Macaca fascicularis: one gene and its partners. The protein of the gene in region 2 interacts with the protein of the main gene of each other region in a pairwise test. Links are inferred from orthologs where the notes say so. Each region holds a gene or a part of one and is shown on either strand. Other genes may lie near its edges.

Region 1 (4,017 bases), on a different chromosome or scaffold from region 2:
CTATAGATGGAAATAGCATTTGGAGATTCATCCCATGGTCTGGATTCTTCTCCAGGCAAAGGCCCATTCTTGCTGGGTTATAAGTTCTTGTTTGAAAATCTAACCTGAATTTAAGGCATTTCAGTGATAGACTGGATTAAGAAAATGTGGCACATATACACCATGGAATACTATGCAGCCATAAAAAAGGATGAGTTCGTGTCCTTTGTAGGGACATGGATGCAGCTGGAAACCATCATTTTCAGCAAACTATCACAAGAACAGAAAACCAAACACTGCATGTTCTCACTCATAGGTGGGAACCGAACAATGAGATCACTTGGACACAGGAAGGGTAACATCACACATCGGGGCCTATTGTGGGGAGGGGGGAGGGGGGAGGGATATCATTAGGAGATATACCTAATGAGTTAATGGGTGCAGCACACCAACATGGCACATGTATACATATGTAACAAACCTGCACGTTGTGTGCATGTACCCTGGAACTTAAAAGTATAATTTAAAAAAAAAAAAATCTAAACTGAAAAACAAATTCACTCAGTCACTCTAGTGCATAAGAATAAATTCACAAAAACCTTACCATTTAAATAAAAACATGGGAACTATGCCTAACTACAAGATGGCCAATATTCTGCAGAGGACTTCAGCCACCCTCTCCATTTGACTATCAAACGAGGTGATTAGATATAGTGCGTTGTCAATTTCCGCTTGAGCCTCAGTTATAGGTTGCAGGTACAGAGCTGGAGTTATCAAAGATGAATTTTAGAAAATCTGTCTCTGTTTAAAACCTTTTAAGTGCTCATACTCAGTCCCATTGCCAGGAGTGAAACCCAAACCTCCCGTATGACAAATCAATATCCAAGCCGACAGATCACACGGGATCTTCCTTATAGACCAGAACCATAGTCAATTCTTAGGTCCTTTTAAATATTAAACTCTTCACTTCCTCTCTCTACCTCTACCTGTGCGTCGCGCCTAACTTAGAACCGCCAAATCCCATTAAATCCCACCCTCACCAGCGACGCACGGTCTCCATAGGCTCCACGCGCCGCTTTTGCAGTCCCCCATTGGCCGGTTTATTGCCAGATGGCCTGCTCCCACGCCCTAGTCATCTTTGATCTCCTCGGATTCCGTGAAGCCCCGCCCTTCTCTTCTCCCCTTTGGCCCGTCTTCCCCAGCTGGCTATTTGGTTGGCCAGCGCGCTTGCCACTTACGTCATTCACCCGCGCCACCCGGAAGCCGCGGTTCCTACCAACCGTTTTTATTGCTGGCGGCCCTGAGGTAAAGGCCGCGCTTCGGTGTCCCTGGGTGGCCGGGTCCCCGAGTTGGGAGGGGCGGAAGGCTGAGCCCCCAGCTTGAGCCGGACAAGTCGATTCCCAGCGTTGAGAGGGTAGAGATGAACTGTGTGTGAGGCCAAACTGGAGCGGTCAACGTGGTCTTCCCCCTCCCCACTCCCCAGGAGCCCATCATGGCGACGCCCCCTAAGCGGCGGGCGGTGGAGGCCACGGGGGAGAAAGTACTGCGCTACGAGACCTTCATCAGTGACGTGCTGCAGCGGGACTTGCGGTGAGTGACAGTGCAGAGGGCGGGGCGTCTGGAACATTCCACGTGGTGGGTGGGGCGTTCAGAGTTAGGGCCAACCCTTTGGATTGGTGGGCGAGGCGTTCAGAGTCCGGCCCCGCGCTCCTTGGAGCGTGAAGTGGTGATGATATCCGGGGTGCAGTTTGGCTGGGACGTGGCGTTCATAGCAGGGGGCGTGTCAGCGCATGCGCGGCCTCCGATGTTTGACGGATTAGGGCTTGTTTTCTGGAGCCACAGTTCTCAGGTTCGAATCCTGGCTCGGCCATTCTTCATCCTTGTGAATACGTCATACCTCGCCTTTCTGTGCCCTATAAACTTCTCTGTGAAATGGGGAGTTTTCTGGAACCTTCCCCATACAGTGGTTTTGAGTTTTTCATATGTCCCATCTTTGTAAATAATTTAGTAGCATGGATGCCTGAAACATAGTAGAGGTTAAGTATGAAGAAATATTATTGCAATTTTTGTTAATCTAAGCAAGAAGTAAGGTGTTCAGAACTAGGACTATGAGCATCCTAAAAGGGATGGAGGATTTTTCTAGGGTGAGGATGGGACATTATGATTGGAGTTCAGTATTGGGAGTGTAGTAATAGTAATAATAGCTAACATGTAGAGAGTTTACCATTTGGTAGGCATTATTCTAGATGCTTTGAGTAAATGCTCATTTAATCCTAATGACTCTACAAGGTAATACTGTCATCTGCATTTTATAAATGGGGAAACCAAGTCCCAAACAGGTTCCTTACTTGCCAAAGCCACACATCTATAAAGGACAGAGCCCAGATCCAAACCCAGGCAGTCTGACCCAGAGCCCAAAATTAACTTGTACACTAAAAAGCCTTTTCAGCGTATGGTGACGTGAGAGTCTCAGAGGGTCATGATATGAGGTATACTAGGAGGAATGGGGCTGCCTATTGGTCACCATTGTACTTTCATCCCATCAGAAAGGTGCTGGACCATCGAGACAAGGTATATGAGCAGCTGGCCAAATACCTTCAACTGAGAAATGTCATTGAGCGACTCCAGGTAAAGACTATGGGGTTGGGTATCATTTTTTTGGTGTGTGTGGGTAAGGGAGGGAAATGGGAAGAGAGACTCCAGAGCCAAACCTGTCACCTGACCTAAGAGTTCACCACTGACCCCTACCTCTTTTTCCCTGGCCCCACAGGAAGCTAAGCACTCGGAGTTATACATGCAGGTGGATTTGGGCTGTAACTTCTTCGTTGACACAGTGGTGTGAGTGTCTACCCGCCCCTCTGAGCCCACAGGGTTCAGCTTACCCCTTCCCTCATGCAACATATATTTTTTTGAGTATCTTCTATGTACCAGGCACTATACAAGGTTTATTATCCCAGTAGGATATAAGCTAGGCGCTGGGGATGTGACAGTGAATAAAATAGGACAAAATCCCTGCCTTCCCAGAGCCTCAATTTGGGGAAGGGTGGGGAGCAAAACATACACTCTGCTAAACAGTGATAAGGACTTCCCCCGCACTTCCTCTAACCTCTCTTTCCTCAGCCCAGATACTTCACGCATCTATGTGGCCCTGGGATATGGTTTTTTCCTGGAGTTGACACTGGCAGAAGCTCTCAAGTTCATTGATCGTAAGAGCTCTCTCCTCACAGAGTAAGTCCATTCCATGAGGATAGTGTGTAAAAATACCACCATTTCCAACACTCTTCTCCCTTTCCCCATGGCTGCCTAGAATGATACTTAAGGACTCATCTCCCCTCCTCCTCAGAGCTGGGGCTGAAGAAATGTGGTTGCAAAGCCCATGTATAGCACATAATAAGCATTCAAAAAATGATCTTTGTATCGTTCATTCATGCAGACATTTATTGGGAATCTTCTGTATGCCAGGCACTGTGCTTAGCAGTGGGAATGCAGCAGTGAACAAGACAGAAGAGTTCCTTGAAGGCTTAAAATCTAGAAGGACTATACTGTTATACATAAATACAATTATGACCAGATCCATGAGGTCTCAGCCTGTTAGAGTTGGTAACAAGAAAACTAGTTACCTGTGATTTCACTTCCTGCTAATTTTACTATTCATTCACTGTGTTCCTGCCACACTGACCTTCACATGCTTCTTTCAGCACCCCAAGAATGATCCCACCCCAGGGCAATTGCCGTAGCTGTTCTCTCTGCCTGCACTGCCCTTTTCCCCAGTACCCACATGGCTTCCTTTCTCCTCACTCATCTCGCTTAAATGTCGCTTCCTCGATGAGGCCCTCTGTAACCTAACTTTAAAATCACAGCCCCTGGCATGCTTGATTCCCCTCCGTCTACTTTTTTTCCCTAACACTTATCACCCCCTAATATTTACTGTGTAATTTCTTGCTTTCTCATATTGTCTCCTCCAATTAGAATGTAAGTTTTACAAAGGGGGAGCTTTGGTTTATATCCCAGGTGACTAGAGTAGTACAAACATAGAGT
Region 2 (3,500 bases):
TTGGGTCCATGTTTTTTACTGTTACAGAGCGAAGTTACAGGTAAGTAACGAAATGGCTAGAATGAACTATGTGGTACTTGATCAGATTCAGAGACATTAATATGGATTTATGCTTAGGTTAATATAGATGCAGATGGACAGATATAATTATAGGTGTGTGAGTGTATTCATGAGTTAGTCTACAAACATATTATTTCGGAGCTCTGTTTGCTGAGGCCTGGCAGTGATACCCAGTAGCAATGAGTATTCCCGGAACCAAATCTTAATTTCTAATACTGTTGGGGTTCCTTGGAGAAATGCCTGATTTGGGGGGAAGGGCAGGGAAAATAAAAGATAAACCTGGAGCTTCTTGTAGTGACAGAAAGTCAGGAAGTGCTCGAAAAATAAAAGGAAGAGGGATTGTGAAAGGGACACAGCAGGCAGCCTGAGAGAACTCTCAGTGACAGAAGCTGGAACCACTTGAGCAGCAAGGCAAATAACATAGTTTTGGCTTATAACCCAAAGTATAAAATAAATAACCATGAGTCCATCCATCCTTATAGATAAATAGATAATTGAATAAGTAGGTAAATGGGAGCAAATAAGCAAGTCTGTGCAGAATAATTCCAACTACTTTATATAGATACCCCGCAACATACACACACACACCCCAGAAGACAGAGCTTAAATCCCTGCCCTTTGAGTAGAGGCTACACTTATTGACTTGTTCCCAAATAATACAATATATGGAAAGCTAGGGGAGGGGAGTGGGACAGTGTGTATAAGAAACCTGGCAAATACGACCTCACCCAGGTAGTCAGGGCTAACATCATCATTACTAAGTCATGTCGATGTTATGTACCCTGAACATCATGTGATGAAATGTGACTTTACTCTCTGGTCTTCCTCTTCAAACCAAATAACCTCTGTTTAAACATGGGAAAAACACAAGAAAACCCCAACTGAGGAACATTCTGCAAAATACCTGACCAGTACTCCTCAAAACTGTCAAGGTCATCAAAAAATAAGGAAAATCTGAGACACTGTCAGAGATCAGAGGAAACTCGGAAGACAACAAATAAATGTAACGAGATATCCTGGATAGAACTCTGGAACGCTAGAAGAAAATTAATGAAATCTATAGGAACATGGAGTTTCCTTAATAGCAATGCAAGATATTAACAGAAGGGGAAACTGGATGAGAAGTCTATGAGAACTCTGTATTCTCTTTGCAACTTCTCTGTTAATCTAAAACTATTCTAGAACAAAAAATGTATTTGAAAGAAAAGGGTATAGAACAAAAGCATTAGTCCAGGACTCTGAGAGAAAAAAAAATAAAGCCTCTGTTTCACCATGGATAGATTTATAAAACATCAGCTCCAGGAAAACTTTGACTTCCTCCTCCAGTTTGAAGTCTTCTATTGTACCATCCAAGATGGTTTTGAACTCCTTGCTAGTTGCTCAAAGGTATTTTTCTCCTAAAATCCTGGAAGTCTGAAGTCACAACACTTTGTTCTTTGTTCTTTTATCCACCCCCATCATATTTTCCTGCGAATCCTGTCATTGTCAAGGAACAGCTGACGGTTTTGTAAGTGGTTTGCGATGTCTTTCAGTTCCTGGTATTCTTGTGTTATTTAGGTTCATTAAAGGGAACAATTTGTCACTAAGATCCAGGTGCAACCATCATTACTAAGCCACCCAAAATTCAGCGATGATGTTACGCAGAAGTGTGGCCAGAGCAAACAAGCTGTATAGTATAAGTATATATACTTAATAAGAATATCACATTTCATCATAAATCACACAAATAATCTTCAGGCTGTTTCCTAATTACAGTTTCAAGAAGTGCCTTCCTCATCTATAAAATTTCATAACCTCAGTTATTATGTGTCTTCCATATAAGGGTAAAAAATGTACACCCATTTCTAGTTATGTTAATACTTGGGCGACAATGCCTTCTGGTTTTGAAAATCATCTGAATAATGAATGTAAAACAGTAATAAATATTATTTTTTATTACCAAACAGTTATAGAGTGTTAAATTGTAATTATCAGCTCATCTATAGATGGTTGGGGCTTATTATTTAGGTAGAAGAAGCAGGGGGAAGGGATTTGCCTGTAAACTGGTAAATGAAACAGTGAGAGCCTATGTAGTCTCGTACATGGCTTTTTGGTGGTTAATTGATGTCTCTATTGAGATAGGTAGGAAGAAAATTGCAATTTGAGATTATTGTCTACTATTTCATTTATTTCACCACTACAGTTAATCAACGATTTTTTCTTTGTCATTTTGTATTAAGTGTTCCTGGGGTCTTTTTCCTTCTGTAGTTTAATTTGGATGGAGTGGGGGTGGGATGCCGCCGTCAACTTAAAGTCATGAAATATTTTCCTCAAACAGTATTCCTTTTATTATCCCCAGACAATCGTTAGAGGAAACAAACCCTGCAAGGAAACCTCCATCAACGGCCTGCTAGAGGATTTTGACAACATCTCGGTGACTCGTTCCAACTCCCTAAGGAAAGAAAGCCCACCCACCCCAGATCAGGGAGCCTCCAGCCACGGTCCAGGCCACGCGGAAGAAAATGGCTTCATCACCTTCTCCCAGTATTCCAGCGAATCCGATACTACTGCTGACTACACCACCGAAAAGTACAGGGAGAAGAGTCTCTATGGAGACGATCTGGATCCGTATTATAGAGGCAGCCATGCAGCCAAACAAAATGGGCACGTAATGAAAATGAAGCACGGGGAGGCCTACTATTCTGAGATGAAGCCTTTGAAATCCGATTTCGCCAGATTTTCTGCTGATTATCACTCACATTTGGACTCACTGAGCAAACCAAGTGAATATAGTGACCTCAAGTGGGAGTATCAGAGAGCCTCGAGTAGCTCCCCTCTGGATTATTCATTCCAATTCACACCTTCTAGAACTGCAGGGACCAGCGGGTGCTCCAAGGAGAGCTTGGCATACAGTGAAAGTGAATGGGGACCCAGCCTGGATGACTATGACAGGAGGCCGAAGTCTTCGTACCTGAATCAGACGAGCCCCCAGCCCGCCATGCGGCAGAGGTCCAGGTCAGGCTCGGGGCTCCAGGAACCGATGATGCCATTTGGAGCAAGTGCATTTAAAACCCATCCCCAAGGACACTCCTACAACTCCTACACCTACCCTCGCTTGTCCGAGCCCACAATGTGCATTCCAAAGGTAACGTTTGCTACCTCCTTTCCCTGAAGTGTACAAAAACCTCCACAAGGGTGGTGCTGGGATGATCTTTTTATACGATCAGATTGCCAACTACTTGTTTGCCTTTTAAGGGAAAATTAATATCAAAACCCACCCTGTCTCCACTTTTGAGGCCCCAGGGCAGAAGATTTAGGATAAGGCATATATATTCATTAAAATCAAAACCTATCTTTTGGGCCCTCCTACCTGGTTTCTCATTAAAAGGCAAATAAACTTATTTATTTGAAAGATATTCTGATATATGAGTGATAAATATGATGTGACTGTATTTCACTAA
Region 3 (3,985 bases), on a different chromosome or scaffold from region 2:
TATTGTGAGGTATTAATGTTTTCTTTTGTTTTTCCTTCCCCTTCCTCCCCACCCCTTTTCCCCCTTTCCAGAGTTTTGTTCTGTGGCATTGCCTTAGGTAAGTACATGGCAGGGCAAACAGCAGAGGTGACAGCAAATCTTCCAGATTTTCACTTTGTCAAAGTAAGAGAGACTGAACTGGGGCCATGAGAACAGAGACATCCAATTACTGTGTAATTCATAAGAGTTTAGAACTGACTCCTTGTGCACCCTTTTTCAGGCCCTTTTACTAATGGACTTTTCTCACTTGTGATGATCTGGGAGAGCGAGAGTGAGGAGAGTCTAAGAAGAGTTCAGGCTAATTATTTTCCCACTAACCTGGCATAGGAGAGGTTCATAGAGATTAAATTATTTACAGTAAATAAAAAGAGTAATATTGCTTTACATTCTGTTCTGTAGACTGGGATTCACACTCACCACAATTATTCCTGATAACAGTCTGCCACCCACCTTTCATTTTAAGCAATTGAAAAATTGTACCAACTTTTCTCTTTAAATTTGCTTTAAAAGCAAATTCAGAAAATTGCTAGAGGGTCAAGAAATTACACAGTCCAACTCCATTATTTGATAAATTGTACAAAAAGCAAACTAAGGCAAGAATCAACTAACTTTCAAAGTTCACGAAGAGGGCACTCTGGAAGTTGATAAACCACCGCACTATATAAATTCCACTACCTCTTTATCTGTAATGAAAAAAATCAAAGGTTGACTTTTTTTTTTTTTTAACTACTCACTGTATTTTTAGAAAGATGGGGCAGAACCACTGTAGAACTCCTAAACCCCACAGAACAAACAGTACATTCTGGAATGATACGCTGGCCAATCCGGCTGGCAGCCGATTGACCTGACCCAGGCAAGGGTTGGTGCATAGAGTATTTAGTTCGGCCCCCTACTGAATGAAGACACTTTGTTAAATTCTCCAATGAGAGACGCTTAGAGGTAGGGGCGTGGAAGAGGGCCGGGGAATTTGACGCCAGATAACGGGAAGTGTGAGCTGATTGGCCGGGCGTCTCACTCCACGGCCCAGCCTTTTACGGATAGCGGAGGCCATCCATCAAAAGAATTACACCAATCAGAGTTGAAAATGCCCCCTTCTCGCGAGAAAGCCCCGCCCTCCAATATATTCCTCTGCAGGGCAGGCGCGGCCCCTTCGGCTCCGAGCTGACCCTGATCAGGGCCAAGTCGTCTCGGCTGCGCTGCCGAGACCTCCACCCAGGACAGCGCCCCCTCCCCGGGCCTCTCTCCTCTTGCCTACGAGTCACCTCTCCTCGTAGGCCTCTTGGATCTAATATCGTGGGGTGAGGGGAGCAGGCCCGGGGAGGGTGGTTACCGCTGAGGAGCTGCAGTCGCTGTCAAGGTGAGTGGGACTGCGCGGGGGTTGACCGCCAGGTGCGGGTGGGGAGCGGGGTTGGGGACGTGGAGCGAGGAGTAGGTCTGGCCCGCGCCCTTTTCCGCAGTTAACTCTACCGCTGCTGTGAGCACAAGCCCAGGCTAGTCCGGGGCTGGAGGGGCGGAGCCGGATCCGGCCTCCTGGGGTGCCTTAGTGTCTGCCGGCCCAGTCCCAGGGAGTAGCCAGGGGAGGAAGAATGGAACCCCTGCAGTTAGAGGTTCCTCACATGACCAACTCTGAAGATCTCCGCCTTCCTGTCTTTAGGTTGGTGTGGGGAGGGACCTTCCGTGTATCTAGGGCTTAGCTTGTGCCCGGGACATGGTTGTGTTATGCACACTTAAATCAATGGAATTCCCAGGTTCACCTTTCAGACTAGGTTAGCAACACCCACCGCCCCCCGCCCCAGTGCGTGCTCTTAATGCCACCTTTTAAGTTTCCTTTCCTAACAACAATAAAAGTTGACTAATATTGAGTATTGTATGCCAAGAACTGTGCTATACTCTATAAGTGGTGAATCTTGTTCAGTCTCTTCACATTCAGCGACAGATATTGTTACCCTCATTTTATAAATCTAGAAATAAGCTCAAGCTCATTATTGTTCAGTGTTTTTTAGGCACCTACTATATGTGCTAAGCTCTTTACGTGATTTCATTTAGGTCACACAAATCTGTGAGGTAGGTCATAAACCTTATCACTACTTTATAAATGAGGAACTAAGTACAATTAGGTAACTTGAACCGTTCATGTTGTTAAAATGTGGCAGAATACTTAACTACCATCTGCTTTTCACTTTCGGTATCCTGTCTTACGGTGATTATTCGTGGTTATCTATTGACAAGGTATAAGTTGAACAAGTATTTCTTGAAGATTTGCATTTTATTTTTCTAAAAAGCATGTTTCCGGCCGGGCGCGCTGGCTCACGCCTGTAATCCCAGCACTTTGGAAGGCGGAGGCGGGCGGATCACGAGACCAGGAGATCGAGACCATCCTGGCCAACAGGATGAAACCCCATCTCTACTAAAAATATAAAAATTAGCTGGGCGTGGTGGCGCACCCCTGTAATCCCAGCTACTTGGGAGGCTGAGGCAGGAGAATTGCTTGAACCGGGGAGTCGGAGGTTGCAGTGAGCCAAGATCGTGCCACTGCACTCCAGCCTGGCAACAGAGCGAGACTCCGTCTCCAAAAAAAAAAAAAACACACATTTAGGATGTGACCAACTTGTAGAAGGGAAATAAATAACAGATGGCACTTTGCAATGACTTAGATGCACTAGCCGCATTGGGGGATGGGAGACTTATAAATCATTTCTTGGCCCAGTGCAAAGATGGCCAAGGAAAGCAGGAAGGACTACTTACACTCCTTTCTGGTCTTTTTTTCTATATATAGATGATAGAGGTACTGACAACAACTGACTCTCAGAAACTGCTACACCAGCTGAATGCCCTGTTGGAACAGGAGTCTAGATGTCAGCCAAAGGTCTGTGGCTTGAGACTAATTGAGTCTGCACATGATAATGGCCTCAGAATGACTGCAAGACTAAGGGACTTTGAAGTAAAAGATCTTCTTAGTCTAACTCAGTTCTTTGGCTTCGACACAGAGACATTTTCTCTAGCTGTGAATTTACTGGACAGATTCCTGTCTAAAATGAAGGTATGTTTGAAGCTACACTTTTGTAATTTTGCTCAGTGTGTTTTGGAGATGGAATTGTTACCTTTTGGCTGATACTCACAAACTTGACCTTTTTTATTTTCAGCACGTAGCCAAAACATTAATTTTGTCTACTACAGCATTAATATGATTTCTTATCATAAGAGTACATCAGGTATTAGACTTAAATTCTGAAATGAAAAATAGTCTAATATCAAGTAACTAATTGCAGTTTCCTAGTAAGAAAATTGGCTGTTTTTAAAAAACCCTTCTTGATAGGTTGGATTTGTCCATTTATTTACTATTTTTAGATATAAACAAATGCATTAGTGGCAGATATTTATTAGAGGCTACATTGTGGCTAAGAATATACTTCTTAATCACTACCCATATATAAAATTGTAAATGTTATAGCCTTAGACCTAGTCAAGACTTGCTTATGCTTGGCATTTCCAGCTTCAGTGTACATGCAGTGGGGAAGAGAGTGTATCTGAAGGAGCAACTATTTTTCTATACTAGATAAACAAGACTATGTCACTTTCAGAGCTTAACTGTTACAAATGCATCTCCCTTTCCCATACACCTATGGTCACTGGAAGAAAAAAAGATATGTGGCAATTAGAAGGAAACTCATATTTTAGTCCTTGGTATCTAATACAGTGTATCACAAGAAAGGACTTCAATATTTGTTGAAGATTCAAGAAATTTGCTTCAATAGACTAATTAACCTCTTGACATTTCACATGTGTAGTTACTACCTTTGAATCTATAAATGTTACATAAATGAATAATATGTAGCTGTCCCCTCAGGTATAATTCAGTCTAATGTGAGAATAAGATCATTGCTCTTATGTACAAGTCATAGTAAGAAAAGTAACTACCTTATTCTTTGAAAGAGGTATAAGTGTA
Region 4 (2,291 bases), on a different chromosome or scaffold from region 2:
TGCCACCCAGGCTCGAGCGCAGCGGTATGATCTCAGCTCACTGCACTCTCCACCTCCCGGGTTCAAGCAATTTTCCCACCTTAGCCTCCTGAGTAGCTGGGATTACAGGCACGCCCCACCACATTCAGCTAATTTTGTATTTTTACCAGAGACGTTGTTTCTCCATGTCAGCCGGAGTGGTCTCAAACTCCTGACCTCAAGTGATCTGCCCGCCTTGGCCTCCCAAAGTGCCGGGATTACAGGCATGATCCACCACGCCCATCCTAACTACCCTTCTCTAACCTCCAAGCCAGGCCAGACCAGTGGCGTCCCTCATGTCTGTGGGCACCAGGCCTGGCACATGGGGTCCCGCCTATACCTCCTCCACTAACCATGAGCCTGCCACGTCCGCATCACGAGGGCCACCAAGATGGCCAGCCCAAGAAACCCCTCTTACTCTCCACCCTGCCACGTGACTCAAGTTCTACCCCTCCGGGTGCACAGGGGAACGGCACACAAGACACAGCTGGGTACAGGTTTATTGTGGCACTGGAGGTGAAAGGGGGCCGGTGTGGCCAGCACCGGTGTGCTGTGGTGGTGGAGGGAGTGGGGTGGGAGGATAAGGCGGGTGGGGCAGGGCTGGGGAACCCCAGGCTCGGGCCAGGAGCCGGGTTAAGGCAACCATTGCCAGCCCTACCCAGAAATGCCGGGCCATGGCTCTGGGGCCGCCGCGGCAGCTGTGGGCAGGAGGGGCTCACACGTGGGAGAAGGCATGGCTCTTGCAGAGGGGCCTGTCCTTCTTGGAGTAGAAGGTCTTTCCTTCCAGGTTGATCTGACATATCTAAGGACAGCAAAGACCCAGTCACATGGGGTTGGGGGCAGCAGTAGAGGCCCCTTCCCAGCTTCTCCTGCATCCCCCAGGCAATGAACAGAGGGCTGGTGGACTTGGGGCTGAGGCCAAGGCTCGGGGCTCTCACCGCACAGACGAAGCAGGTGTCATGCCAGCTGAAGCCCAGCGCCTCCAGGAAGCGGTCCCCAGCGTCGATCTTGAAGTCACAGCCATGGCATTTCGTGCCAAACATCTTCTCATAGTCTGAGGATGGGAGCAGAGAGGAAGGGGACCTGGATTCATGCCTGCCCCATGCACCATCCCTCCTCACCCTCATTGGCCAGCGGGTACCTCGCTCGCAGTAGGGCACGCCCTCCTCCATGTAGAAGGCCCTGTTCCGGATGGGCGTCTTGCAGGCGGCACAGGTGAAGCAGTGCACGTGCCAGGTCATCTTCAGGGCATGCATGATCTCCTGGAAGGAGCTGCCAGTCACTCGGCAGGCTCAGGCCCCTCCTGCCCTCCCCTGGGTCACGGGAACACAGGGCAGCTGGCCGCGGGCCCTGTTCCTTCTCATAGTAAACACTACATCTAACCGTTCAGGACTCCCATGCCTCCATCTCCAACTCCAAGATCTCTGAGTGGACGTCCACTGCGCCTTCAGACCTGCCATGTCCAGTACTCAGTTCCTGATCCCCTCGCCCCAAACCTCTCCTCCCACAGGCATCCCCGTAACACGGATGGCAACTCCATTCTCCCATTTGCTGCAGCCAAACACACCCTCCTCCCACACCCCACACCAGGTCCCCCAGGAAATCCAGTGGGGCCCACCCCCAAGGCATATCCAGATTCTGCGTGCTGCTCACAGCCTCCCTGATGTGAGGTGAGCCACAGCGATCTGGCCCCTGGGATCACACACAACTGGCCTACAGCTCCTCCCTCTGATCCCAGCTGCCGCAGCAGGCCCCTGCAACCCCTGCAACCCGAGACAGGCTGTATCCCCCTGCATGAAACCCCTTACCGCTTCCCATTTCTCCCAGCAAGAACCAAGCCCCATGCAGACGCTGGAGGCCAGCAGGTCTGACCTCGTTCCCACCTGTCTCCCCCACTGCTCTCCTTTGCGTTCTCACCTTGCCTTCGCACACTGGCCTCTTGCCTGAAATTGGCACACCCGGCACGCTCCTGTCCTGGGCTTGACACTGGCTGTCCCCTCTGCCTGGACTGCTCTGCCCCGGATATCTCAAGGCTCACCCCTCACCCCCTTCAAGTTTCCGCTCGAGTGCAGTCTTCTCCACGAGGTCCCACCCTGACCACACGAGTAGCAGCCAGCTGCCTTCCCTACACCACGCCCAAGCGCTTCTTGCTCTACTCTTTCCTGTTTTCCATAATGTGATCTAACATTACTTCCAGGCAGTCTACTTATTGCGCTTATTGCTTACTGTCTGCCTCTCCCCTCTTCTTCCAGCCAAAACGTAAGGCCCAGAAG
Region 5 (3,577 bases), on a different chromosome or scaffold from region 2:
TGATGGCCTGCCAGCACCCTCTCTAGTCCATGCCAGGCTGCCCACTGCCTGCCACTGCTCACCTCTCCAATCTCCCCTAAACCCCACCCCCACTAGGGTGACAGAACTGGTTCAGCAGGTGACAGGCCAGGTACTTGCTCCTGGGCTGCGGGTGTTGGTGCTGGAGCTGAGCTGTGAGGGTGAAGAGGAAGACACTGCCTTTCCACCTCTGCACTATGAGCTGTGACAAGGCAGCCACCCCATCACCTAGCTCAATGGAGCCCTGGATCCCAAGCACTGCATTGTAAGCCCACAGTAGGCACTCAATAAATGCTTGTTGAAGGAAGGCATAGTGGAGAGGATGGATGATAGAACACAGTGCACTAATGCACACAGGTGTGACATGGGCATGACAGGGACCTTCACACAGAGACAAAAAGCTCTTCAGATTTGTCTGCCTGGGCAGTGCCTCACAGGGCTGGGGCTGCCTCTTAGTGCCTCAGGGGTATGAAGCCAGGACAGTCTAGAAAAAAGGCTTTTATTGTCCCAGGCTGGAGGGCAGGGTCAGAGGTAGCTGACATCATTGCAGATGATGGGCTGGCGACTACGGCAGCTCATGAGGGCTGCGAAGCGTGAGACATCCGCAGGCATTTCAGGTTCTGGGCGAGGTGGGCATGACAGCCGCTTTCCTGCCATAGCTGTCCGCCGAGCCCTGGCCAGCCGGCGCCGAAGCTGCTCGGAGAGGCCAAGCAGGAACTGGGGGGGCCGAGCATGGGCACGGTGCCCACCTCCATCACCTCCTTCACTCCCTGTCTCAGGCAGCTCCATCCAGTTGTGCACCAAGTCAGCAAAGCAATTGTCCCCCAGTACCAGGGGCTGGCGACTGCGACCCCTATTCAGTAGGGCTGCTGTCCAGTCCTCTGCTTCCAGTCCCTGCCAGTGCTCCAGGCAGGCGTCTGGGGTGGACTTGGGCCGTGGACGGTGGACAGGTGGTACACTGGCTACAGGGGCCCTGCTGGGCATGGGGAGGCCACTGACTGAGAGGCGCTGCCTACGAAGGGGCTGTGCTGAGGGTGCTGGGCGCTGGGGAACAGGTAGTTCTTCCTCTCGCCATGTGCTGCCTGACACCTCCGAGAAGCCAGAGTCCCAGTCCAGGGCATGCTCCCTGGGGCCTCCCAAGGCTGCACCCCTGTCTTCTGTCACCACTGCCTCTTCTTCCTCCTCCTCCACACAGCAGACTGAGTCTTCTTCCAAGGCACCTGAGGCCCTAAGCTGGTGGCGGGGCTGCACATCTGGGCCAGTTTGGGGGGTTGGCTGCAGGGGACCAGGCATTGGGGGTGAGCCTGTGTCCCGACCACACAACTGAGGGGAAGAGAGGGCAGAAGTCAGAGAGGTATCACTTGTCACCAGGTCAGCCCAGAGTACAGAGGGTCCAGGAGGGTTAGATAGGCCTGCTGGCCTGGGCAGCAGGGTGCTAGTGAGCACAGGGCAGGCGTGGGGTGCTGGCACTCGAAGCTGGTGTGGTTCTCATTCACCGACCTGGTGGCAGTCCGGCAGGCTGCAGCACGCAGGGCTGGGCAAGTCGACACCCGCCACCAGGGCGGGCGGGCGGGCAGGCAGTGTTGTGGGCCTGAGCAGGGAAGTAGGTCCTGCCCAGGACTGGAGGGGGATTCAGCTTCCAAAGCCCAAAGCGTTTTTCACAGAAAGAGCGCTTGCTAGGTGAGGGGTGGAGAAGGGAGGCATAGGCCAGCCTGAAGTAGGGGGCGTTCACAGCAGTGCTAGCACCTCGTTAGTCCCTTGCCGCCCCATGCCCCACCCCCAAAGAAGTTCCCCTTCCACTCTCTCCTCCCGCGCCGTTCCAGCAGCACGGCCAGCTGGATGCTGTTATCTGATGCTCAGCGCAGTTCCCAACCCTCCGAAATCCGACGCGGACCATCTGAGCCATATGAGCCGCGCCGCCCCCACCCCGCGCCGCCCCCATCCCGCCTCGGACGGGCACGCTGCAGCCACCCCGCACCCGTCTGCTGTTCCGGCCGGGCAGCAGCCTGGCACCCCGCACGCGTCCTCCCTAACCGCACCCGCTCCCGAGCCTCACCAGTTCCCAGCGGAGCTGGCTGAGGAAGCTGTCAAGCCGAGCGCTGTGCATGTCCGTGCCGGGGCCCCAACTGAGCCTACTGGCTCCTCTGGGAACCCCGGCGGAGCCGCGCGGAGAGGGCTGGGCGGGCCGGCCAGCGGCGCCCTCAGCCTCCGCCTGGCTGCGCGGCTCCTCGCTCTCCGTAGCTCCCGCCGCCGCCGCCCCGACATCTGGCAGCCGCGCCCCGCCCCGGCCCCACGGCCAAAGGGGGAGGGGCTAAAACCCGGCGTCCCTCCGGACTCCGCCGCCGTTCTTGTGGGGAAGGGCGGGGTCGTAGCTGGAAGCCGGACGGGGTCGGGCCCGGGATACCCAAGCCCCCAGATGGTTGAGTGGACCCTGCATTTGCTGCGTGACGCAGGACAGGTCGCCTCCGTGCGGGGGCCTCATCCTCCCCATTTCTTCAATGGTGAAATAGCGGTCCCTCTCACGGGGCGTCATGCTGCGCCCGCACATAGGCAGAGCGCCCCGTATGGTCGGACCCAGAGAGGTTGTGGCCCACTCGGGGCCTGACCCACGGGACCCATTCCTGAGGCTGGCCTCGGCACTCCCTGAACAGGATGGAAGTGGGGTTCGGCCTGAGGACTCAGAGAGGGTGGGACTTTGTGGCAGCGCACTGGCGGGGCCTCAGCCGCGTTCCAACTGAGCTAGACGGGACTGCCCTCTAGTGGGGAGTGCTCGGCTAGTCGCGAGTCCAGCGGCGACACGCGACCATCGGCATGCCCTCTGCCGGTACCAGGTGCAGACTGAGGGTGGGTGCTGGGGTGAGCCTGTCTCCTGAGGTTGCTCTATCAAACAGGCTAGGCTCAAGAGTAGTGTAGCTGCAGACAGACTGGACATACCAGCTACAGGAAAATACCAGGGAAGGAGGGCCATGGGCTAGCCTGGGGAAGGGCAATCTCAGAGGAGGTGACATCAGGATGCAATCAAGAGGAGGGGCATTCTAGGCAGAAGGAGCAGCCAGGGAAAAGACCCCGAGGGACAGGAGCTGGACAGGGCCAAACATAAAGAAGGCCCAGGTGTCTGTGATTGGTGGTGGCGGCAGAAGGGAAAAGGTCAGCAAAACCAGACTCTAACGGCCTTAGAGCAGAATGTGGGTTTTGTTCTTGGTGTGATGAGGAGCAATGGGGGCCTCTGAGCAGGAATGACCTGGGCTAGCTCTTGTTTAGATAATCCCAGCTGCTTTCAGAAAAGGATTCTGCAATAAGAGTGGAAGCCCCTGCCGTCATCCAGGCAACGAAGGGGAGGGCCTAGGCCTGGGCAGGGCAGGTGCACTGAAGGGGGGTCACTTTGGGGTATGCTTTGGAGCTAAAATCAAGTCTTGCTGATGCATGGATGTGGGCAGGAAAAGAGGCATCAAGCATGACTCCTACATTTCTGGCATTAACAGCTGGTTGGATGAAATTGCCATAAACTGATCTGGGAAAGACTGGAGAAGAGTGGATTTGGAGAGGAAAATCCAATGAT
Region 6 (4,279 bases), about 8.5 Mb from region 2:
AAGGTCATTGCAGGTATAAAGGGGATGGGAGGACAGTTGAAGGAGATTGAATCAGAGAGGTACAGGACTGGCAGGGCTGGGGCAGGAGGTGGCAGACCACATGCAGGTTCCTGCAGACCACGGGGAGGACTTTACTTTTCCATTGAGCGTGATGGGAACCCTGTGAGATTTTGAGCCGAGGGATGTGATCTGACTTGTTTTCTTTTTTGTTTTTGTTTCTTTTTTGAGACGGAGTATCGCTCTGTTGCCCAGGCTGAAGTGCAATGGTGAGATCTTGGCTCATCGCAACCTGCACCTCCCGGGTTCCATCGATTCTCACGCCTCAGCCTCCTGAGTACCTGGGACTAAAGGCGTGCGCCACCACGCCCAGCTAATTTTTGTATTTTTAGTAGAGACAGGGTTTCACCATGTTGGCCAGGCTGGTCTCAAACTCCTGACCTCAAGTGATCCACCTGCCTCGGCCTCCCAACGTGATGGGATTACAGGCGTGAGCCGCCACACCCGGCGGATCTGACCTGTTTTCTAACAGAATCTCTCTGGTTGCGAAGTGCAGTACAGAGAGAGACAGGAATGGAATGGGGCAGTTCCGAGGCTGATGCCAGGCGTCCAACTGAAAGATGACAGGAGCTTGGACCAGGTTGGTGACTGGGATGGGGAAACTAAATTTATTTGGGTAAAAACAATAAGTGGATTTCATGAAACTTGTTGACGTAATGGGTGGTAAAAATCATAAAGGGGGTAGTCAAACAAATGATTGAAATTTGGTAATGGGTCAGGAGCTTCAGCTCTGCGGGCAGCAGTTGTGTCTTCTTGGAAAAATGGTTTCAACTCTCAGCCGTTTTGTCATCTGCAAAATGGGGATAATAATGGTACATCATAGAGTTGTTGAGAAGGTGATGTAAAGGTTTTAGTACAGGATGTAGCACACAATAAACACTTAATAAATGTTATCTTAGAAGCCAGACTGCTAGGTTCCTGTAACCATCTCAGTCATTCACCGGCTGGCTGTTGTCACCTTGGTCAAATTAGCCCTCTGTGCCTCAGTTTCCTCATCTGTGCAATGAGGCACATTAATCGTTAATATCAACTGCATAGAGTTGGGTTGTGAAGATTAAATAAATGAATACAAGTAAAGCATTTAGAATAATGTGGCCGGTAGTAAGCACTGCGTACGTATTAACGATTATTAAGAATGTATTTTAGCCACATTTCCCAGCCCCTTCCCCGGCCTAGCATAACCCATTTTGTGCATGGGAAGTCTAGCTTTCAGCAAGGTGGCCTCTTGGAGGGCGCTGTGCTTGCGTGAAGCGATCCTGTCGGCCGCGGCGAAGACCCAGGTTCCGGCTTTGAGGGGCCTCGCCCCGCGCGGTCCCTGGCGGAACCTTTTACTTCTGCGCTCGCGTTGCCAGCCCGGCGCGCCTCACGCAGTTGCGCCCGCTCCTGGGGCTACTTCCGGCGGCCCCGCCCCGCCCCGCCCCCGGGCGTCTCCATCTTGGTCTCAGGTGTAGACTCTGCCAGAGCTAGCGCAGGAGTGAAGCGGAGTTATAGCTACGTCGGCCGCGGAGCTGGCTCACTGCACTACCCCCTCCCCCTTCTCTCCTCCAGACGCCGAAGTCGCTGGCGCTCATGGCGGGCCTGGAGGTACTGTTCGCATCGGCAGCGCCGGCCATCACCTGCACGCAGGACGCGCTCGTCTGCTTCTTGCATTGGGAAATGGTGACACACGGCTACTACGGCTTGGGTGTCGGTGACCAGGTACGCCACGGAGCCGGCCAGGGTGGAGGAGGGAACTGTCTTCTGTCCAAACTCAGAGGCCCGGAGGCCTGGTCCAGAGCGCCCGATTTCCCCGCCTTTCCCAATGCAGGGCCTGGGGCACATGACAGCGTTGGTAAAACCTGCGGGTCGGAGGTTGCTCACCTGCTCCAACCCAGCCCAGAGTCCCTCACAGCACAGCTGGCACAACATGATTTGTAAACTCAAGGGCAGAAACTCGCTTCAACACAGCCTGGCAGCCTCTCAGGCCAGGACTGTGTGGACCTAGCATTCCATAGAATGGAAAAGAATCCAGACGAGTTTAGCTCCCCAGAGCACTCCTCACCCACCTAATCTCCTCTGAATTCCTTCCCACCCAGCCTCGGGGTGAGGGGACTGACTCAGTTCCCCCCTCATACCACACTAGAGCCTCCACCAAACATCTGGATCCAAGCACAGGTACGGGAGTGAGCTTTGACCTACTCAGCCCCAGGCCACGGCCCTTTTTTCACCCCTTAGCATGGGCCCAGAGAGTTCACATGCCTTTCACGCTTTACTGAAGGGCCCAGCGTAGTCCACTCGCTACTGCCATCCCCAGCTCAAGCTCTAGGAAACAGTCCCCCCTAGAATCGTATACACATACAGCCTGGATGTGAGAGTCATATAAGATTTTCTCCTCATAGCTGTCCCCATAGGGCCAGCCCCCTCCACTCCCATCCCCAGGCTCCACCTCTTACACCTAGGGACGTTGTTGTCATCCCCACCGAGTTCCAGGACCGCTGGGCCCAACCCACCTCACTAATTCTTTGCTCTAGCATTCTTCTGTCTTTGCTGTCTCTTCCCTGTGACCCTCACCCCCACATCCACATCATCCTAGACATCTGCTTGCTGGGACAACTGGGCCTGCCTCCATGCGTGCCCCTCACTGTCACTGTTCTCTCACTCTCAGAACCAAGACCAGCCATGGGAAACAGACCACCCCGTCACCCTTCCTCTCCTTTTTGACTGCTTCAGTCCTCAACTCCTCTAATCATTTTTTTTAGCTTCTCAAATAGAGTCTTAATTCTCCTCTCCTGACACAGCTTTAGGGACCTGTCTTCAAACTTGTTTTGTACATTCTGAGCACTTAGGCAAGTATCCCCTTTCCCCTCCCCCTCACTGCTGTCCCTATTCCTCTCTGTCTCTTAGAACTAAAGACCAAGACCACGATACCCCTCTCACACTTTACCTCCTTCAGCAGGAACCAGAGCCTAAGAACTGTCAGGGATTTCTGGCTCTTCCCCTGCCCGCCCCCGACCTCAGTTATCTCACTGGGACCCCAGGTACACACTCAGGATCCCCATTCCCACCTCCAAACTCACACATACTTCATCTCTCAAATGGGCTCTATGACTGGAGATGAGGATGGAAAAGAACAGCCAGCCTTTCACACACACACACCTGGAAGCAGGAACCATTTCACCTTCCCAAACACATCTGTCCCTGTCCTTTCTCTTTGTGCTGCCCTTCATTCCACATACCTTCCAAATGCCTTTCAGCATTTCAGACCTTAGTACCAGGTAGAGACACATTTCAGTGTCAGGCTCCTGTTTCAGTGCATAGTCCCCCTAACAGAAATCTTGTCTCCCCACTTGTCCTACTCCAGCTTTTTAATCTTGAGCAGCTCTTCACTTGCCCCAGTCATTTTATTTCAGCTTTTCGTAGATTCTTCAAAGAAACTGATATCTGGGATGGTGCAGGGGACAGTGGGGCTGAGAAGAGGAGTAAGATTTGATTTTGACCTGGGAGCTCCTCCATTGGCCCTCAGCTCTCTTGTCCTTCAGATGGAACAGCTGTGCTCTGCACTGTCCCTTCTCATGTACCTCACTCCCCTTACATACCCCTAACTAGCTACTTCTACTCTGCCACACTGTCAGAACCCTGTCCACCTCTGCTCCGGAACTTGTTCTAGAGGGTGTGCCTGATGCCCTTCTCTTCTTGCCATTCCACAAATAAATATCAATCGCTGTGAATCTGCTCCCACCATTCTTACCCTCACTCATCCTGTTGAATCACTTTGACAGTTTGGGAACATCAGTTCACATAAGTCGACACCTTCTTTTAGCTGGCATTATCACCTTTCCATACACTCAAGGCTGCAAAATTTTCGGATGAAATGTACAGAAAGAATACAATCTCATTTTAATACTGTTTTTTTCTGTTGTTGTTGTTGTTGTTGTTGTTTTTCCAAAAAAAAGGCCTTGACCAATTCCCCAAGGTCCATCTGATTTTTCTCTGTTCATGGTGCTATTTTTTGAGCTTCTGCAGGCCAGAAAAAGATGCTGGTTTCAGAAATCTTTGGGGAGGCCCAGGACCCTGGGGAATGGGGTTTTTGTAAGGCATTGCCACCTTTCTTCCTGAATCTTGCATGCTCTTGAAGGAATGGGTGTTTGGATTGCAAACTAGAGCGTGGTGTATTTTTGCTTCTCTCTGCCTTTTCTCCTTGATTGCCAGTGGGGCTCAGGTTGCACTTGTCCTCCTGTCACTT
Region 7 (4,282 bases), on a different chromosome or scaffold from region 2:
CCCAGCCTGCAGGGATGAGGCTCCAGCAGCCCCCACGCCGAAGTGCACAGTTCAGGGCAGACTCTGCTGCCCGTCGTCTGTGGATGGGGGGCGGGCTGTGCCCTGCCATCACCGGTGCTTCTGAAGCTGGTTTGGGGGACCCTGGGAGTGGCCTCGGTCCTCACGTGCATCCTGGAGAAGAGCAAGGATGCCTCGTGACAAGGATAATGATACCGAGCGACACTTCTGAAAGGGACGCTTCTCCCCCGTGTGCAGCTGGGTGGTGGCCGGTGCCATGGCCCCTGGCAGGCTGCAGTGGCCTCCTGGGCTCCATAAGGTGGGCTGCAGCCCTTTCATGACCAAGGCGTGTGCTGGGCATGCTGTGTGGCTGTGTGCCCCCCTGCACATGCCCTGCCCCGCTGTCCTGAGATGCCGGCGAGGGCAAGGGTGTCCGCACAGGGCAGAGCATGCCCTCCTGAAGAAGCCTCCAGAAACCTATGACCAGGTCAAAGCGGCTGGGTGCGGTCTGGCCTCGTCCAGCCTCCTGGGGGTCTCTGCTGTCTCTTCTACTTGCCAGGTGCCCGGGCTGGGCCTCTGGGGCATTCTCAGGACCCCTGGCCCCCGGCCAGGCTGGGAGGGCTGAGAGCAGTTTTCCCGTGGAGGGCAGAGGACTTCCACTTCCGTCTGCCTCTCGGGGCCTCCTGGGCTGCACGAATCAGAAGGCAGGCCACCAGGGACTGTCCCCCTGTGGGAGGACTGGCGGGACTGTGGAGTTAAGCCATCAGGAAGTGCACAGGCGTCCGGCACGCTCCTCCCTCCCTGCAGCCCCAGGCAGCATCTCCCCGAGGCTCCACGTCCCAGGCTCCTGGTGCGTCTGCCGTGCAGGTGGCTCCTTGGAAGACCCTCAGGTGGGTGGGTCTGGTACTTTTCTGAAAAGTGACCAAGAAGGTCGGCGCCGGCTTCGTTCAGAATCCTGGCGCTGATCCCCGCAGAGCAGCATGAGGCTTCCCACAGGCAGCCAGGCAGCCTCCGCCGCGCTGCCCCATCCCTTTCATGGCCACTGGGCGGAGACATGTTCATTTCAGTGGCATTACGGTGGCAGATGGGACCCTGCATTTCAGGCTGGGGAGGCAGGAAAGGGGCCCAGTGTTCCCAGGACTGTCCGCTGTGTGGCCGGTGTTTCTATTCAGCCCCTTGTCTGTCAAAACTGTCCTGAATGGGGTGACAAAGTACAGTGGGAAGTTGAGAAATTCTTCAAAAGACCAAGACCAAACACTTCAAAAGACCAAGTGTCTCCAGGAGTAGTGACCCAGCTCCTTTAGGCAGGAAACCAGCATTTCCCAGTGGGGCTGGAGGCTGAGGACCGGGGACCTGCGTGGGAGGCAGGACCATGTGGCTGTTCCCAGCCTTGCCCCAGTCCCAGAGGGAGTGGCTTTCAGCGGCTGAGGCTTCCACCGCGCTGGCAGAAAGGGACAGCAGTGGCTGGTCCCAACATGGGTAGTTCTCTTGTTTCAGCCAGTGGGATGGGGGTCGGGCCTCATCGGGGGCAGGAGAAGAGTCCAGAGATTGACGGGTGCCCGTCACCTAAGAACCTGGAGAAAACAGCACAGCAGCACTCCTGGCCAGCCAAGGGCAACACCGACAGCCCCTCCCAGCTTGCGGGGCCGGCGGGGAGTGACAGAGGCACGCTCCTGTGGGCAGCTCTTCCCGGCCGGTGCAGCGACCCTGGCAGCTGGGGCAGGGCTGGGTGGCCACTCTTGCATCATCAACAGCCGGCCATGGAGGAGGGAGGGCACAGCGCGGGATGTGAGCAGGCGTCGGTCAGGGGAATGGGGAAGTTCCGCCAGAACCGGCTCCCCCAGCTGCTGCCCTAGTGGGAGGGTCATTGGCCAACCTGCTCTCACCCAGCTTGGGCTGGCCGTAGTGCCAGGCAGGTGCCCACAGCTGCCCACCCGTGGAGGTGGCTGCCCCTGTAGGCTCCAGGGCGTGGTGGGAGTGTCCAGGAGGCGGAGGCCAGAGGCGAGTCATGCCGTGGAGGCCGTTCCTCTCTCAGACCCCATCTGTGTCTCCCCCGCTGCATATCTGGGTGACACGGATGGCCAAGGGGCAGGAGCAGGGGCTGGGAAAGGCTGTGGAGGGGCCCTCGGCTGGTCTGGCGGGGAGCGGGTCACTGTCTCTGCCGCCTCCCTGGGGGATCCAGCATGGGGATGGGACATGGAGCCGGGTACCTCTCCTGGATGCCCCTGGGCTGACCCCCTCGACAGCCCTGACGAGAGCCCAGGCCCAGCGTCTGAGAAGGAGCGGGAGCCGGGCCTGGGTGGGGGCAGGAGCCGGCGTCACTCTCAGCGGCTGCCCCACACCCCCCAGCCTGCCTGCGAGGCCATGTCGGACTACGAGAACGACGATGAGTGCTGGAGCGTCCTGGAGGGCTTCCGGGTGATGCTCACGTCGGTCATCGACCCCTCGCGCATCACGCCCTACCTGCGGCAGTGCAAGGTCCTGAACCCCGACGATGAGGAGCAGGTGCTCAGTGACCCCAACTTGGTCATCCGCAAACGGAAAGTGGGTCAGTGCTGCCCCGCAGGCCCCAGGCCCCAAACCCAACCAAGGAGCCCGCTTGGAGGTGGCTGCACGCTCTGCCACCCTGACCCTCGACCCCAGGAGAGCCCCGCCTGGCTTTGCCCCTGGCGTCCCAGTGAGGCCCAACCTCAACCCTGGCACATGGCCACCCTATCCCCCAGCCTCTCCTGCCAGCTCGGTGCTGCCAAGAGGGGCAGTGGGACTCCCACCACAACGGGGGCTCCTGAGACAGCCAAGGGATGGGTGGACAGCACTTTGTCCCCAGCCTAGTACCAAGACCCACAGGGTGCCTCATCCACGACCCAAACCACAGCACACCTCATCTACATCCCAGCCTCCATCTGTCCCTGCCCCCGGGCCCACCCACCCCAGCCCTCTGCCTCGCCTGTGCCCCGCCCCCAGTTAGGCCCCTCTGGCCCGCAGGCGTGCTCTTGGACATCCTGCAGCGGACCGGCCACAAGGGCTACGTGGCCTTCCTCGAGAGCCTGGAACTCTATTACCCACAGCTGTACAAGAAGGTCACGGGCAAGGAGCCGGCCCGTGTCTTCTCCATGATCATCGGTGAGTGACGGGGAAGGCGGTGGTGGGGGCGGGCAGTGGTGCTGGGTCCTCTGCCCAGGCCCCATCCCTAGGAGCCCTGAGCTCCTGCCACAGCGCAGGGCGTGATAGAGCTGGGCCACCGGGGAACACAGGCACCGTCTAACGCTGGCGCGGCCCACAGACGCGTCCGGGGAGTCAGGCCTGACTCAGCTGCTGATGACCGAGGTCATGAAGCTGCAGAAGAAGGTGCAGGACCTGACCGCGCTGCTGAGCTCCAAGGATGACTTCATCAAGGAGCTGCGGGTGAAGGACAGCCTGCTGCGCAAGCACCAGGAGCGGGTGCAGAGGCTCAAGGAGGAGTGCGAGGCCGGCAGCCGTGAGCTCAAGCGCTGCAAGGAGGAGAACTACGACCTGGCCATGCGCCTGGCACGCCAGAGCGAGGAGAAGGGTGCCGCGCTCATGCGGAACCGTGACCTGCAGCTGGAGGTGCGCCCACTGCCCCCGGGGAACCAGGCCCCCCTTGCCTGGCCTGGTGGGGTCTGCAGGCTGGGGCGGTCGGGGGTGGCCCCGTGGGTCCGTTGTCACCACCTGGAGGGGACAGCCGGGCTCACCGGACCTTCCGCAGATTGACCGGCTCAAGCACAGCCTCATGAAGGCCGAGGACGACTGCAAGGTGGAGCGCAAGCACACGCTGAAGCTGAGGCACGCCATGGAGCAGAGGCCCAGCCAGGAGCTGCTGTGGGAGCTGCAGCAGCAGAAGGCCCTGCTCCAGGCCCGGGTGCAGGAGCTGGAGGCCTCCGTCCAGGTGGGGCCGCAGGCAGGGCGGGTGCAGCCCGGGCAGGACAGCCGGGGCCTTCCCAGCCAGGCCATTGCCTTTTGCCCCCTTCAGGAGGGGAAGCTGGACAGGAGCAGCCCCTACATCCAGGTACTGGAAGAGGACTGGCGGCAGGCACTGCGGGACCACCAGGAGCAGGCCAACACCATCTTCTCCCTGCGCAAGGACCTCCGCCAGGGCGAGGCCCGACGCCTCCGGGTAGGAGGGCAGGCAGGGCGACGCAGCTCCTGGGGGCCAAGCCACGCTGGGTGGGCTGAGCTCCGCCCACTCCGTGCCTGGAAGGTGGGGCCTGGGGACTCCTATGGCCTCCCCCCACATCCCAACTGGCCTGACCACATGCTCCTGAGC

Evidence for each region.
Region 1: the proteins of PAK5 (region 2) and UXT interact in binary tests that used the Homo sapiens proteins (3 or more experiments, as listed by UniProt). The two-hybrid records come from large-scale screens. The link is inferred for Macaca fascicularis from reciprocal best matches to the Homo sapiens genes PAK5 and UXT.
Region 3: the proteins of PAK5 (region 2) and CCNG1 interact in binary tests that used the Homo sapiens proteins (3 or more experiments, as listed by UniProt). The two-hybrid records come from large-scale screens. The link is inferred for Macaca fascicularis from reciprocal best matches to the Homo sapiens genes PAK5 and CCNG1.
Region 4: the proteins of PAK5 (region 2) and PDLIM7 interact in a two-hybrid assay, tested with the Homo sapiens proteins (2 studies listed by BioGRID and IntAct). The two-hybrid records come from large-scale screens. The link is inferred for Macaca fascicularis from reciprocal best matches to the Homo sapiens genes PAK5 and PDLIM7.
Region 5: the proteins of PAK5 (region 2) and INKA1 interact in binary tests that used the Homo sapiens proteins (3 or more experiments, as listed by UniProt). The two-hybrid records come from large-scale screens. The link is inferred for Macaca fascicularis from reciprocal best matches to the Homo sapiens genes PAK5 and INKA1.
Region 6: the proteins of PAK5 (region 2) and PSMF1 interact in binary tests that used the Homo sapiens proteins (3 or more experiments, as listed by UniProt). The two-hybrid records come from large-scale screens. The link is inferred for Macaca fascicularis from reciprocal best matches to the Homo sapiens genes PAK5 and PSMF1.
Region 7: the proteins of PAK5 (region 2) and CARD9 interact in binary tests that used the Homo sapiens proteins (3 or more experiments, as listed by UniProt). The two-hybrid records come from large-scale screens. The link is inferred for Macaca fascicularis from reciprocal best matches to the Homo sapiens genes PAK5 and CARD9.

Annotation. Positions count from the first base shown.
Region 1 is NC_088395.1:47,757,226-47,761,242, reverse strand, and holds the start of UXT (protein UXT), read left to right. Parts: upstream 1-1,217; 5' UTR 1,218-1,259; coding exon of another isoform or gene 1,260-1,471; coding exon 1,472-1,569; exon of another isoform or gene 1,570-1,578; intron 1,579-2,525; coding exon 2,526-2,607; intron 2,608-2,749; coding exon 2,750-2,817; intron 2,818-3,099; coding exon 3,100-3,207; intron 3,208-3,441; exon of another isoform or gene 3,442-3,579; intron 3,580-4,017. Other genes in the region: uncharacterized protein, read right to left, coding at 1,260-1,473. UniProt on the Homo sapiens protein: Involved in gene transcription regulation. Acts in concert with the corepressor URI1 to regulate androgen receptor AR-mediated transcription. Together with URI1, associates with chromatin to the NKX3-1 promoter region.
Region 2 is NC_088384.1:77,744,157-77,747,656, forward strand, and holds part of PAK5 (serine/threonine-protein kinase PAK 5), read left to right. Parts: intron 1-2,398; coding exon 2,399-3,184; intron 3,185-3,500.
Region 3 is NC_088380.1:170,164,212-170,168,196, forward strand, and holds the start of CCNG1 (cyclin-G1), read left to right. Parts: upstream 1-1,185; 5' UTR 1,186-1,396; intron 1,397-2,815; coding exon 2,816-3,079; intron 3,080-3,985. UniProt on the Homo sapiens protein: May play a role in growth regulation. Is associated with G2/M phase arrest in response to DNA damage. May be an intermediate by which p53 mediates its role as an inhibitor of cellular proliferation.
Region 4 is NC_088380.1:184,426,789-184,429,079, forward strand, and holds the end of PDLIM7 (PDZ and LIM domain protein 7), read right to left. Parts: intron 1,281-2,291; coding exon 1,160-1,280; intron 1,073-1,159; coding exon 957-1,072; intron 821-956; coding exon 734-820; 3' UTR 501-733; downstream 1-500. UniProt on the Homo sapiens protein: May function as a scaffold on which the coordinated assembly of proteins can occur. May play a role as an adapter that, via its PDZ domain, localizes LIM-binding proteins to actin filaments of both skeletal muscle and nonmuscle tissues.
Region 5 is NC_088376.1:112,833,676-112,837,252, reverse strand, and holds INKA1 (PAK4-inhibitor INKA1), read right to left. Parts: upstream 2,256-3,577; 5' UTR 2,126-2,255; coding exon 2,075-2,125; intron 1,731-2,074; exon of another isoform or gene 1,342-1,730; coding exon 544-1,341; 3' UTR 501-543; downstream 1-500. Other genes in the region: UBA7 (ubiquitin-like modifier-activating enzyme 7), read left to right, coding at 97-226. UniProt on the Homo sapiens protein: Inhibitor of the serine/threonine-protein kinase PAK4. Acts by binding PAK4 in a substrate-like manner, inhibiting the protein kinase activity.
Region 6 is NC_088384.1:86,264,136-86,268,414, reverse strand, and holds the start of PSMF1 (proteasome inhibitor PI31 subunit), read left to right. Parts: upstream 1-1,479; 5' UTR 1,480-1,626; coding exon 1,627-1,755; intron 1,756-4,279. UniProt on the Homo sapiens protein: Plays an important role in control of proteasome function. Inhibits the hydrolysis of protein and peptide substrates by the 20S proteasome. Also inhibits the activation of the proteasome by the proteasome regulatory proteins PA700 and PA28.
Region 7 is NC_088389.1:2,997,756-3,002,037, forward strand, and holds the start of CARD9 (caspase recruitment domain-containing protein 9), read left to right. Parts: upstream 1-1,482; 5' UTR 1,483-2,193; coding exon 2,194-2,545; intron 2,546-2,982; coding exon 2,983-3,120; intron 3,121-3,280; coding exon 3,281-3,585; intron 3,586-3,724; coding exon 3,725-3,904; intron 3,905-3,988; coding exon 3,989-4,132; intron 4,133-4,282. UniProt on the Homo sapiens protein: Adapter protein that plays a key role in innate immune response against fungi by forming signaling complexes downstream of C-type lectin receptors.